2 linked regions of the Drosophila melanogaster genome follow. The protein of the gene in region 2 interacts with the protein of the main gene of each other region in a pairwise test. Each region holds a gene or a part of one and is shown on either strand. Other genes may lie near its edges.

Evidence for each region.
Region 1: the proteins of fan (region 2) and saturn interact in a two-hybrid assay, tested with the Drosophila melanogaster proteins (one large-scale study listed by BioGRID).

The regions. Positions count from the first base shown.
Region 1 is NT_037436.4:14,199,472-14,207,085, forward strand, and holds saturn (saturn), read left to right. Parts: upstream 1-3,851; 5' UTR 3,852-3,962; coding exon 3,963-4,181; intron 4,182-4,240; coding exon 4,241-4,738; 3' UTR 4,739-4,823; downstream 4,824-7,614.
Region 2 is NT_037436.4:8,104,962-8,112,764, forward strand, and holds fan (farinelli), read left to right. Parts: upstream 1-4,170; 5' UTR 4,171-4,316; coding exon 4,317-4,973; 3' UTR 4,974-5,082; downstream 5,083-7,803. Other genes in the region: Sarm (sterile alpha and armadillo motif), read left to right, coding at 1-98, 166-335, 479-696, 1,055-1,988, 3,678-3,762; Nulp1 (nuclear localized protein 1), read left to right, coding at 5,538-5,693, 5,769-6,145, 6,217-7,083, 7,151-7,477, 7,533-7,753.

The DNA.
Region 1 (7,614 bases), 6.1 Mb from region 2:
CATTTAGCTAATGACGTTTTGGGCTGATAATTTTCATTTTCCTTTTTCCGGAAACGGAGAAACACACCTGTTGAAGTTTGTTCCTGAACAGGCATTTTTGGTTGGCAAGGAAAGTGTAATTAGTATACTACAAATATTTGTTTAGCACATAGTTTATGCTGATACTTTGAAGAGGAATTAAGTAGATTTTGTGTTATTTCTTTTCGAAGAATCTCAAAGGGCTTCGAAAATTTTCAATTTACTAAGTGCTCTAGGCAGCTTAGACGTGCTTTCTCGATAGGTTTTCCAATCAATAAGTAATGTATTGATGGGCTCGTTTTTTGCGCTTTTGCAAAACTTTCAGCAATTGCATGTGATTTTTTGTTGGCACTTTGACCTATTGACCTGCATGTCATGTCTGTAGCCAATTGAACATCTATATAAACTTCGCACACAACAAATTTAATATCTTAAATTTTGTATTCCTTTTGCAGCTGCAGTAAGCTTTCCACCAAACATGGCACCAATGCCCCGAATTCAGTTACCCAATGGAAATTCTTCCATAAAGGCTAGCACAAATGATTTTCTCTTTGCGGAAACAATGTCCGGCGACAGTAGTCCCACCCCCAGCAGTCCGCCATCCAGTACAGGTATGGATAACATTAAAATAATACATAGATTAGCTTACTAACGAAATTATGTTTTAAACTTCAGCAGGCGTTGCCAAATCTCAGTGTTCTTCCCTTTCGGATGGCGAATCCTTTGAGGGATATGGCGAAAATGAGTATCCCACCCAACTTCGCGAAGCCCGCAGCTCCAATTCCAATGGGAGCCATAATATGAGCAATCATATTAACAATAATTCTAATATCAGCGTGGGCAACAACAGTGGACACAACCACAGTGGACACTCGAACGATGGAAATAACAACCTAAATGGCAGCACTGGCGTCGAACTCGATTTGGCTCCACACGTCGGCTCATCAACACCTCAAGAGTAAGTTTTTGAAACATTTATATAGTGCGTTTCAAAAGTGTCATATCCATTTAACATTGCGATAAATTCAAAATATATACTTATGTATATGAACACAGTTGTTCTATAAACTGTTAATGAATTTATTGCATATAAATATGTAACTCCTGTAAAGCAAAGAACATTAGTCTTGCGGAATTACCTCTTGATTACTGTCAATTAATCTTTTAAACTAACTGACACTGAAACGCCTTGTGTATTTCCATTGTCACAACTGATGAGCATTTACTAACTCGATTTCGATTGTTGCAGTGATGACGAACTAAACATAATGCCCCGGGATAATTGGGCCAGGCGCAGTCTGCGACGAACTCCCACCAGGTAATCTCGCCCATTTTGATCGGATCACATCTCTTAAAATGGCAATCGAAGCGAATGCGAATTTGCTTAGTTGTCGGGCATTTATAAGGTTGCGCACATAATCCAGCTGAATACGTAATAGCCGTGAATATAAAATAAAGCTGACCAGGCCCAGAGACTTCATCAATTCAAAACTCTCAATTTGTCTGTCCGAGGCAGCATAAAAAAAGCGTATTTGAATAGTTAACCTTTTCTTTGTGTAAACCTGTGTCTGTTGGTTTCAACGCATGTATGTGTGGCATGAAAAATGCATACACAGACTGAAACCAGTTTTTTCTATGCTCTGACTTGGGCTCATGAATCGCTTTGGGCCGTGATTCATGCGTGTCTCTGTCTTCGGGTCTCGGAATCTCTCACAACTCAGCGATCGTGCCTCTCTTTCTGGTCGTGTTCCGCCGTCTCTTTTACTCTATTTCCGCCTTTGTTCAACAAGTTGCCATAGCCGTGGTGAATTCACAGTTCAACTGATCGTAAGAGAGTGCAACAATTCTCTTAAATTATACAGTGATGAGTGTTACCTAGTTATAGCTAGAATAAATCATTTATTTAAATAACAATTTTATATAATTATATTGGCAATTTTAAATAATTCTAAATAACTGCCTATATAAATATTTGGAAAATTAGGCGTAAATTTCATTCTATATATGAACTTATATAAAAGAAAATAAGATGATTAGAAAGATTGCTATATTGCTATGTTTCTATTGCGGTTAAAACTGAACCGAATAAGACTATTATTAGATATCCCAATTGATAAAAATTTTTCTTACAGCAATCCTGATAGTTTATCCCAGCGTCGTTGGGGATCCATGAGACAGTAAGCACCCTTGAATATAATTTCTTTCGGGGTTTCATGTAGAGCTTCATATAAATCATAACCCCCATTCTTGCTCCATTTTGGTTTTGGTTTTTTGATTTGTAAATAAAAATATTTATAATTTATCTTAATTAAAAAAATTATTGGTGCACTGCTCCTTAAAAAATATATATATATAGTTTTTAATTCAGTATTTGTCCTCATCACATTTGATGTTTTCACAAGCGTTTCCATGACTTCGCTTATCTAAGATTGTTAATTTCAGCTATAAGTTGCCTTTGGTTTTTTTCCCAATTTTCCATTAGCTGGTTTGCTCAATTGCTTGTTTTTCTTCTGCCTAAATTAGTTATCAGTTTTTCCCATCTTATTCGCCTGTTTCAATTGTTGTACAACTACATAGATGTTCAATTGGGCAATTTTCAAGAGCTTTCCTAACGCTGCCACCCCCAAAAACTAAAATTTATGATTATTGCCGGCGGGGGAGGCTGTCATAAAAGTTACAACCGAAAAAAAAATTGCTCTCTTTTCTGGGACTTAATTGCAACTGAAACCAAAACGAAAGTAAAATAAATATATCAGATTAACAGCATGAGATTTATGTTAGTACAATGAGAGAGCTCCAAGATGGAATCTGCTGCAATTTATATAACTTCCTTTGGCAGTTCTGCTTGTCAACTGGCGACCGTGCTTCCTGCTGCCATCTTCTTGAGCCAAAAGTAGTTTGGCCGCTTTTGTGAACTTTTCTCGGGGACCGAGCGAAAAGGTTGAAGGTAGAAGATGCGGGTCTTTTCTTGTCTCCCCTCAATTTAGCCAACTCCTTCCCTCTTGATGTGGCTTACAAGTTGGCTGACTCGATGGGGTTGTCATGCTGTTGGAATTTATTTTTTCGCTCATCCGATCGGAGGAAGTGAAGTGAGAGGGTTCCAGAAACAGGTTTAACTTGCCGCAATTGTTAACTCTTCAGAATTTAGGCCGGCACTTTTGTCAAGTCGCGAACAAAATTTGACCCAAAATAAAACTCAGTCTGCTGATGTTATCGATTCTGACACATTTATCTCGTATCGTTATGTACTGTTATATACTTTTGATCATTTTGATCATTAAACTAAGGCTGTAATAGTTAGATCATTACTAGAGCATCGATCAATATCGATTAGCATTTCAATTATTAAACAAATTTTTTTCATAAACATTTCTTCGAAAATTATGCACGAAATCGGATAAAGTAATTAAAATCGTCTGCATTTAAGGCGTGTGCAAATCAGTTAACCCCACGCAGGCTATAAATTGTGGTTGCTCTGTCAACTTTCCGGACCTTGATGTTCTTCCCATGGCTTCTACTCTTTTCGAAGCAACTACAACTTGGGCCGACTTGAATTTGTCATGCAAATGCCTTTGTTTTTGCTCCGCTGCTGGGAACATGTTTTTCCCACTCTCTGCACTTGGCATTCAAAAAAGCTGCACTGGGAAATGGTGGGGGAAAATGCATTAAAGAACCGAGAACAATTAGGGAAAATTGTGGGAAGAGGTTAAAGATTTTTATCTGAAAAAGGAAAGGGAATGAGTGGAATTCTACAATTATTTTCTTTAAAAGAACGAATATTTTTCCACATAGGAACATTTTAAATGTTGTCATTTGAATTCAGTCTAGCAAGCAAAGAAAATACTTTTCAAATCACATTATAAAAGTGATAACATCACCGGTTGGTTATCCGTTTTAATACAACCTAAATTACAGATAGAAACTAACAAAAAGTCAGGCCCAAAATGTGGAACTATCGTCAGAAAGTTGATTTGGAAACATCGGTAAAGATATCGCCGTATTGCAATTCTTGGCCATCGGCTTGTTGGTTTACTCTTAAAGGCATTGATTTGTTGAAACTTCTGGTATTGGAAAGATCACCAACTTACCTGGTGATTCTTACGATTGTCCTTATCGTACTCCTCTTACTTGTATTTAAAAGATTCAAACACAAATGGAACGATGTAAGTTAAAGGGGGGGGAAAACGTACAGTAGAAGGGGCTTAATAGGGTTTTGTTCTAGGTGCCTATGTCGGAGATTGAGTCACTGAGAAAACGTGTTAAGTTTGTAACCAAGGATATGGCCATGCTGCAAGAAGCCCTAAATTCGACCGTAATACCCAAGCCGCCGCTAGCGATTTCTGATGATATTAGGAGTAATATTAATTACTTGGATGAACCAGAGTCCAACGCAAATGATGACAAACTTTCAGAATTTAAAGAAATCTTTGATCCTTTCCCCCCAGAATTCGACAAAATTAGTGAAACTAAAGCGCTAGTACGAGAAGAAAATAAACCGGAGCCTGTGATTCCAGACGCCGAACCTCGAGAAGATTCCGTAGTAAAAAATAGGGTGCGATTTGCTCTAACAGATCAGGGAAAACCAGCCAAAGATGAGACCAAGCACATTAATATAGCGAAACCCACGAAGATTATAGCTGAAAATAATGTATCCGTGGAAAATAGAAATATGCGTAAACGGTCATCTCCTTCAAACACGAAAACGGGATGGAAGCTCTAGATCTATTTTCAGGAATTTTCATATTGAAATTTCATTAAAATTGTAGTGCTCGAATTTGTAATAAACCATTCATAGTGATTTGTATAAAACTTGTTGTGATCGTAATTCATTATAGCCCTATGCCAACCTTGACATCTTGCCTTCGCAAGCGTTTTGGCTTTAAGTGATTTCCAATTGTCTTTCGTGGTAATTTTCACCTATTTCATTGTGTATCTCTGTTTTCCCGTGCATAGTTCCCAAGTCTACGTGGTTGGCCCTCAATTAGCCTTAAAGGTGGCCGGCTGCCTAATCGAGGCAGTTTCCAAGCCACTTTGCGGGGGCCCAACATTGTTTGGCAGTTGGCTTGCATTTCTTGGCTATTTGGCAGACCTGGCGACAATTTCCCGTTTTTTTCCCCCTGCATGTATTTGAATTATTTGGCAGCTGAAAACGGCTTGAAAGTACGTCTGTCGCCAATTTGGCTTCGGTTTTAGGTAATTGCCATCTATCTAATAGGTACATGAGAATGTTTATTGTTGGCCAGATTTGTAGATGTTGCATAGTTTTAGTTTTTAGTATCGCCGAACAACATGTTGGCAGCAAACAAGTTGCATGGGAAAGTGTATGGGATTGTAAAAGAGTTGCCAGATAAAAAAGAAAAACAGTACCATCATCAAAGACCTTTCAACATTACTAATGAGACTATAAATGTTGACTTAGGTGGCAACAAAGAATAGTAAATTAAATATTTAACAGTATTGAAATGTTATCTTAAAATATTATTTTTTAGTATATTATTTTAAGAAAAGAATATATTTATTGATATATGTGAAATCGTATTATTGAATGCTGAAAGAAGAGGAATTTGAATGAAGATGATTAGAATTAGAAATTATGTTATTAAATATATAAATTATAAATATTCTACCATTTTCTCTTAGGAATAAGCAAATATATTTCTCCATTTTCATTATAATTATATTTTTTTATGTCACAAATGATTGACATTTGTAAGTTCACACTCGCTGTGTAATTATTTTAGTCTGTCTGGCAAGTTCGAACTGCAACAATGGTTTTAGCCCTCTCCCACACACACTTGTTCGCTCTTTTGGCCTGCTTTTCCGTTTTGTTTATTATTTGGCTAGTTGGCTCTCTCGCATCGAACCTGTTTGCTGGTCGCCTTTAGATTGGAGCAGGCGGCTCAAAAGTCGGAATGTGGTATTCGGTTTTAGTTCGAACATCGCTGTAACCGCGTGCGGATGTCAGGAAATTTGTGTCGTCCTTTTTTGGCCTGATTTGATTATTTATTAATCGCCCGAGAGTCTGTGACTTGTGTTCCGGTGTAAAACCGAATAAAAATCATACAAAATTCCGCCGCATCCATTGAGAAAACCAAAGTATGTGAAAGTGTGTGTGTGTGTGTGTGGCATTTGTTTATATACAAATGTGTATATAGCATACATATGATTTTTGGGCGCACCAGACAACGCGGCGTATGCGAAACGTTTGTGCAAATAGATTTAATTGTGTTTTTTTTTGTCGGTTTTGTTTTTGGCTATAAATTTCGCTTTCCACGGAATAGAAAACGTTTTTAATTCGAGCTGCGCGCTTTTATGAGATTTCGTACATAGTTTTGTGCTGTAGTTTACACTTTGGTAATTTACGGCGTCACGCCTTAATGACGTCCAACTACCATCATAATAGCCACAATAACAAGCGCAGTCTTTGGCTATATACTGCACATTCCCATGCAAAATCGGAGGGTCTTCGCCGTCTTCTCGTGCGTTGTCCTCATCTCCATCTTCTTCGACATGTGTGTCTCGTCTTTTGCACGTGACTTTTCCCGGGGTTTCCACGGGCCCACGCCCTTTTGTGCTGCACTTTTCCCATGCATTCATCCAGATTAAGGCCCATTTGTACACAGACGGGTAAAAAAAGAGGTTGTTCAGAATGTATTAAAGTGTAGGGTTTGATACACAGGTGGTATTCCAATTCGAATAGACTTTCATTCATTTCTGAAAGTGCTTTATAAATAAACTATTACATGAATTAAAATAACGATTTTTATCTTATTTTGAGTGTACTACCAAAACAGTTCTTATTGAAAATCCAATTATTTGTTAACCACAAAGTTTTCCACGAAAAAAGAATAAAAAACCTCCAAGAGCGTGTTTGATAATTCCTAAAGCATACTAAAATATTGATAAACAACTCAGAACTGGTGTTAGTTATGTTGGATCATTTGAATTTTAAATTGTGAGAAAGTTATTAAAATATTGCATACACAAGTTAATGTTTAAAGCTGCGTATTCTTTTACAAAATAAATAACATTTTAAAGTAATTTGAACTTTAGCTTTCTAATAAAGTATATGTTTTAATCATTTCCTTTAACATTACACACTTATTTCAACACCTTTTATAAGCAGTAACGACATGGCCAATCAACCGAATCTCTAGATTGCGTTTAGATCTAAAAGAGTAATCGACTTTTTAAAGTGCTTTCGTTTCCATCTATTGCCACACTCATCGCATCATCTTCAACTGGGCTCTATAGCGTTTCATCCCTTTTCTACACTCGCATTGTCGAGAGTCATCAATCAAAATCGAATCAGTTTTATATCGCCTTAATTATCCGAAGAGCAGCCATATAAATGCTGCCCGTTCGCGGCTGTACGATTTCATTGTTAGTTGGTCAGTGCAGTCGAGAGTGCAGTTTGGCTGCAATTTTCTTTCTTTTCGATTTTTGAGTTTGTGTTCGTTTTCGATTTCGCTGGCAGAGAGCGTTTAACGACGTTATCAGAGCGATTTCCAGCAGCGTGTTGGCTAAATATTAACCATCTCATCCGCTCATCGAGTGCAAAAATTGCGGCTTGGCTTGGATGTTCGGCTTGAGAAG
Region 2 (7,803 bases):
ACAGTATTCGACAGGCAAAGAACTTTGTCTTAGTATTAACTCCCGATGCCCTGCACCGCTGCATTAACGACGAGGACTGCAAGGACTGGGTGCATCGCGTGAGTACCGCATTTGCCGATCGACCTTTAACCAATAGGTACTCATAAGGGGATACTCGTTTCGCAGGAAATCGTGGCTGCCCTGAACTCGAACTGCAACATTATACCCATCATAGACCAGCAATTCGATTGGCCCGAGGTGGAGCGACTTCCCGAGGACATGCGCAGTGTGGCCCATTTTAACGGTGTTAATTGGATCCACGACTACCAGGACGCATGCATCGATAAGCTCGAAAGGTACATTAAGCGACGCATTTAGATCTGGATTAGCCTGGGACTAGGACGATGGATAACTCCATTACCGATTACCTTAAGCCTGAATAACCCAGAATACTTCACAACTAAACACTTAAACGATTCCCATTCTTCTGATGCGGCAGATTTTTGCGCGGCGAAAAGAATATCGATCGCATTGCGGCGATGGTGCCCGGCACCCCCGGTTCGGTCTCATACCAAAGAATGCACAGCAACGACTCCGACTACCAGAGCGGAGGAGCAGGCGCCGGATCAGGAGCAGGAACTGGAGGAGGAGGTGGTGGCGGCGTTACGGGCAGTGTGGTGGATGGCCTGATGGTGGCGGCCAATGGCAGCGGACAAGGTGGGCCAACGAGTACTACATCTACTACTTCTTCTACTCCCAACTCAAATTCAAGCTCAAGCTCTAACCAGAGTCCCCCAGCGGCTCCAGCGTAGAGTGAGCCAAGTTATGCTAACGATTTACAGAGCTAGCCAACTCGAATATGTTCTAGGCTTAAGCAGAGATCCTCAAGTCACACTCTCTAGTACAACTCTCTCTCACTTTCTACCCCCACCCATACACCTACTACTTTCTCACTCAACTCAAGCAACCCATTACAACTACACTATCCATTACTCTTTACTCTTACCAATTAATAATTGATTTAATTCTGATTGCCACACACTCGAAATCGCTTGAAACGCCGTCTCATGCGCAGCTAATCACCAGGCAAATAGGTACCGCCAATCTCCCTCACCGGCCCGCCAAAGGGGCAGCACCTCGCAGTTGAGTGGTTATTCTCGGGCGCCCTCGAAACGCTCCCAAATCCTCACCCCGTATCGCACCCAACAGGCAGCCCTGCTCCACAAAACCGGAGCGGGTTCCGCGTCCATGCAGAATATGATGCCATTGGCGTATCTGCCTCCGCGGAGGAGTTCCGCCGCGGGATTAGGTCATGGATCTGGTTCCGGCATGGGCAGTGGCTATCGATCGCACAGTGTGGATGGGCTTCTAGATCAGGCGGGCTCAACTCCAGAGCAAAGAATAGCAGCAGCTGCGGCCAAGGTGACAGCGGGTAGTACAGCTCTAACGAACGCCAGTTCCACAAGCACTCTGCAGCCCGAAGAAGAGGTGACGGATGCCGCCCTCAATGACTCGGTGACCCGGCGTGACAAGCATACTTTATCCCCACCGGGAAATGTACAGCAGCACAGAAAGTCCCGAAGTCTGGATCATATTCTCAGCAAACAGACTTTAGCAGAGCTGCTTCCACCGAGTAGCGAACTCGCAGATGGAACGCAAAGTATGCAAAACCTGGCCATTCCAATGACCCCGCAGCCCCAACGAAGGGACACCAGCTCCTCCTCGAAATCCCCCACTCCCGAAAGACCTCCGCAACCAGCGATGGAAAGGGTAAGGGAACGCCAGAGTCCTGAGGGTGTGAGTGCGACGGAAAGCGAGCGGGAGGATCAGCCAGAAGAATGTCTGCGACATGGCAACCAACAGAGGGCATCTGCCTCGGTTCATCGGGGAGCCAGTTTGACCAGCAACAAGACCTCCAACTCCTCACTGGGCTCCAACTTTAGTGCCGGAGGAAACAACAAGACGATATTTAATCGAACGATGAAGAAGGTCCGCTCGCTGATAAAAAAGTAAGCCATAACGAGGAGGCAGAGAGACGAGATGGACCGGGACTCGATGTCCCCACTCGTCGCTCGTCACTCGCTATCTGCTCAATATTACTGTTATCCATCATTTCACGATCTGATTTCACCACTAAGTTTCTTCATCTAAATTTAACTGGTAACGCTTCGGATAAAAGATTTCAGATGTTACTTCGAAAGAAATCAGATTGTGAAAAGGTGCTTCTAGTTACTCGCCAATCGCCCACTAAGTGCCTGTTAACCCGTTTCTCGCCACTCGCTGCATTTGTGCCATCTAAAAAGAATCTCATCCAATCACGCATTCATCCACCCCCTGGGGACCCTTACAACCTTTCTACCTCCACTCGCTGACTCTACTTCTCTTTCTCTGGTGTTGGTACTCGTTCGCTATTTTTACTCGCCACTCGTTGACTCGTTTCGCTAAGCATCCACTAAAACTCGCCTGCGTTGCCCAAAAAATATATACGAACGCCCCTCCCCCGCCAATTTCTATATCTTCAAACTCTATTTGCCTTGTGATTAGTTGTTGATTTTGATAATTATTTTTTTATTGAAAAATAAGTAAGCGAATTTAAATTGCGAAAACTAATTTATGAAAAGAAAAATACAATTAACGACTGCATAAATACGAAACCTAATTTATAGAACACAAAACAGAAACCATCTAATTCTAAACACTACAAGAAACAAAAATATATTGGAGAGCGAAAACACTCTATATTTAAAATGCTATTTATAAATAATATGTTTAAAAATTTGTACATTTTTCGCGAATGCAACATGTTCTTGTAACCGTCCGCAAAACGTAAACTAAAAATTGCAAAATTTAAAATTAACCCGTGTGGCTTAAAACGAAAATATTTACATAAGTGATATTTAAACTACGTATAATCGAAATTTACTTAATGCAAAATTTTTACAACAAAACATGCTGTACAAACCTAATTTTTAGCGCAGGAGTTTTTAAGGCATATTTTTATTGATTTTTGCAATATATATTTAATATTTAAATAGTGCCTAAAGTTAAATACGAAAGCCGAAAAAATCGAAATACATACAAAAAAAAAAGGAAATAAAATGTGACTTAATTCAAACTAAATGTGTATTATTGGCCCTATTTAGCCCTGTTCCCCTGCTTAATCAGTCCATACTATATCATCAATCGCATGTACCGATATTATACGTTTTGTTCAATGTTTGTATTGCGTTCTGCATTTGAATTTGTGTTTGTGCCTTTAATGGAATTCGAAATGTTTTATTTGTATATATCTTATCACTTTTATTTCTTCCCTCTTTCTTTCTCTATATCCGGACTTTTTTGTAGACCATAAAAGCGAAATTGGCTACCGCAATCCGTTGTAACTGTTGTTATCGTTGTGCCTGTTGTACTGCCCCCGCCCACAAAAGCACCCACCCACCAAATCGAATCGATTTCGATTTCGAAAAACCCATCATCGCACACCGTGAGATTAATACGATGCCTACACTCAGCATCCGCCGTCTCGACAACCAACATTCATTGTTATTTATTACCAAGCAAGCAACAAAAAAAAGAAAGAAAGCAATCAAAGCAAATAGCGATACCAATAAACGTGTATATAATTGCATAAATCGAAAGAGTCCTGTCAAACATTTTTTAATTTGTATCTTACCCATACCTCCTCCCACTCGAAACAGCAACGAAATGGAGGACGAGGAACTTTCGGGCATCATTCTGTCCAAGGCCACCTCCCCCAATGCCGGGCGCATGATATTTTGGTAAATGATGGACCATCCCCCACCTGACACACATTCAGTCACACAAACGTATCGAATTTTTGTAAATATTTAATAAAACAAAAAACAAATAAAACGAACGATCTGAAACTCGAAATCATGTTGTTATCTAAACATCTTGAACTTACAAATACAAAAAACTACAATTTGCAAAAGTTCTAAAAAGTTTTTGAACATTATTTAAAGACAGGTTTGTATATAATTTATGAAATTAGCCTAAAATATAGCTTTTAAGACATTCCTTTAAGCAACATAAGCTAATAGCTGCAATCTATAATAGTGATGCTGCGCATATGACTTTCAAAACCGACCAGTGTGTCCACACCAGAAAAGTTGAATTCATACGAAATCAAGCAATATGTGAACTCAATTCAGCCCTGAAATGGAAAGTTTCACATTCCTTTTTCTGTCATTTGCACTACGGCATTGTCAGGGAACGTGTTCATTTGGTACCACATTTTTTCATATATTGGTCATAATCGGTTCCAGTTCATATCGCTTCCGATTTTTTGAAAAATAAAAAGGTACAAATATTCCAATATGTCCGACAATACCGAGAGCAAACTTGCGCTAGACCCGTGCGATGTGATCGTCTTTGAGGGACCATTCAACCGCTCGGTGAGCAGGAAGCTAGTCATCAAGAACACCAGTAAGACCCAGCGAATGGCCTTCAAGATGAAGACCACCACTCCAAAACTTTTTTATGTACGCCCCAACATCGGTGTCTTGGGGCCCGAGCAGAAGGTCAGCGTTGACATATTCATGCAGCCAATTCTGCAGGAGCAGATAAAGAAGCGTCATAAGTTCCTTCTCCTGGCCGCCGAGGTGACTGGTGACATAAGCGATGTGCAGGAGTTTTGGAAGATGCAGAACCCGAATGAAACTCGGGAAACCAAGATCAAATGTGAGCTAGTCCCTTCGAAGGAGGACGATTTCCGTCAGGCGGGAGGTTCAGCTGTAATATCCACGGACAACAAGGACGGAGAGGTCCATTTTGATGCCCAGGAAGTCAGTGAGCCAATGGCCAAGTTGCTCAAGCAAGTCAGCATGCTGGAGGACGAGCATATGGCCCTCACAGACCAGATCGACGGCTTGCGTGACCAGGCGATTGGGCGCACTTTCTTCTACATGGCCGCCATAGTAATCATTATACTGTCCGCTGTCGCAGGCGCCTATTATGGCAAGACTCGTTTGTAAATTCCTTATCATGGCAGTTTTTAGAACATAAGGCAGTAAATTGCACCGAAATTGTACGAAAATTATTTGTCAATAAAGGACATTTTGGTTGCATATTCTATTTTGAGATAGATAATTAGTTTATGCTTGTATACCAATAAATGCGTAAGATGTTATATTCTCACTTTACTAGAAGTAAATAAGTTTAAAATAGGAAATGTCGAATAAAAATAAATTTTTTCAAAACAATTTAAAATGCTTTTTCCTATTTCACTTTATGAAGAGACAAAAAGTAAACTTATTAAAATTTCTGTGAATAACACGTCAAGTTTGATCCAACTTCTACAGGCAAGGCGTATAGGTGTATAGCACTTGCTAAAATTTAGAACTTCTTTTTCAATTCCCGCCAAGACGGGACCACCTGTCTAGGCCAGTGCTGTGAAGCGCGCGTGGCCACAGAGCTCGGCAACCCTGCAGCCGTGCGAAAGCGAATGTGGTGAAGAAAAAAAAAACAGCGAAATACACACGTATTTTGCGACGAAATTAAATAGAATTCCTGCTAAGGGGTATAAGGACACTTGAAGGATGTCTGCGCGAATGCTGAAGAAGCTGCAGGGCGACGCTGACAAGCTGGCGCCACCGCCCGATGACGAGGACTGCGAGGAGCTGAGCGACAATGATGAACTGGAGGACAGCGATATGCAACGCTATCGAAAATCACACCTTAATCCATTCGATTTGGTAGGCCGCTATTAAAAAATAGCCAGCTCATCACCGAATGAACTGCATAATCCTCCGTTCCCACAAATTTTCTAGCTCAATCAAGCCGGTTTGAGTCTCTCGGAGAGTGAGTTCAAAGAAGATGACAATGAAACGGAGCATCCGTCTGCTGCCCTGCCCAATGCTACTGCCAGTGCGGCCAAAAAGAAGAAAAAGAAGCGCAAGAAGAAGGCCAAGTCCAGTGGGAATCACATCAGCAGCGAAGATAACGAGCGTCAGGATAAGTACTTTGAGAAGGTGGATCCGCTCCTTGGCAAGGTCTACGATGCGGTGCCCAGACAGTCGGCGAAACAGTTGGTATCGGCTGCCACCGGGACTACTGCCACCAAGAAACTGCTGGCCGTAGAGCTACGGCACCTGAATCCACAGAACGAGATGCGTCGCACTTTTGGCAAGCGGGTGGTAAAAGTGGAGTAAGTTTGGAGTGCCTGGGCTAAGAACTTCCATTCTGAAACTTAACTCTTGCAATCAAACTTTCTTTCAGAACCAAGCGTGGCAGGCAGAAGCCCACGCTGAAGTCCACCTATATGGTGACCGCCAAGGATTCGTGGCCGGCACTGACTAAAAACACCATCACGATGAAGCTGCTGCCCGCCCCAGACTCTCCATCGGTGTCCTCCAAGTCTATCACAGATAATGGAGCGGACGTTCAATGGTTTGCCTTTGAGCATAGCCAATACTACCAGGGAGTGCAGCAAATGTTCCTTTCTGCTCTCGAGCGCATTGACTCGGAATTTCTGATCACACTTATCAAACGCTGCCCCTATCATGTCGACTCCTTGGTTCAACTCAGCGAAGTATGCAAGATGACCGAAGACTTTTCCTTGGCCTCCGAACTGCTTGAGCGCGCCCTTCTCCTTCTGGAATCGTCGCTGCACATCAACTTCAGTTTGACGTCGGGCAACTGCCGACTGGACTACCGGAGACAGGAAAACCGATCCTTCTACATCGTGCTGTTCAAGCACGCGCAGTACCTGGAGGAACGAGCTTGCAGCCGCACCGCCTTCGAGATCTCCAAACTGCTCCTGAGTCTTCAGCCAGACACAGATCCTCTTGCCATGATTCTAGTGATTGACTACTATGCCTTGCGCAGCAAGCAGTTTGAATGGTTGGTAGAGTTCTATGAAAAGTATAACGCCGCGAGGAACCTCAATCAGCTGCCCAATATGGCCTACTCGTATGCTTTGGCTCTACACACGCTCTATGGCGCTTGTGAACGCTCTAACCAGGCACTGCAATACGCCCTACTAATGTTCCCGGGTGTTTTACGTCCTCTTTTGGACGAGATGTCGGTGCAAACGGACAAGAGGGTCCTGGCCTCATCGTACTTCTTTGCAGATGTGTCGGGCAAGTAAGTGGAGTCTTATCTCCGTGAATGATTAGTGGTATGGAATTTAATGTCTTATCTTGTTTACCAGTCAATCGCCCGCCCTGCACCAGCTGGTGTGCCTGTATGTGTGCCGTGCAAGAGTCGTTTGGCGTCAGAACGAGGTGCTACCCTGGTTGGAATCCAACGTGAACATAGTGTTAGATCGCATTGAGAGTAAGGATCCCCTGGTTAATGAGTACAAGGAGAAGCGATCACTGCGATATAGTGGAACACCACCAAGGCCCATTCTTCGACATGTCATACTCTCCGATTACAAGGAGAAAGTTCCACTGGCGGTCTTCGTGTCCAAGGAGAAGCAAGCCATTATGACCTATGATCCACTGCCGCCACCGAACAGCGTCAACTGCTATCATCGGTATGTCGTTCGAATCGGCTCAAAGTTAGTAAATTCTAAAAACCAGTACTTGCAGAAAATCTTCGTCAAGCAGCAGCCCCACAACGAACACGAACAATTCTGTGTCAATGTTCTTTCAATCGCTCTTGCCTTCGTTTAACATTAACAACCTAGCTGCAAATGCTCAGCTACAAGAAGGAGCAGCACCAGCAGCAGGTGCGGGAGCAGCTGCAGGCGATGCTAACATTGAAGTGGGCATTGAACAAGGAGCTGCCGGCGTAGCTGGCGAAGGAGAAGGTTCGTATGAGCATTATTAAAAATATCTTGAGATAAAACCGATTTTGTCG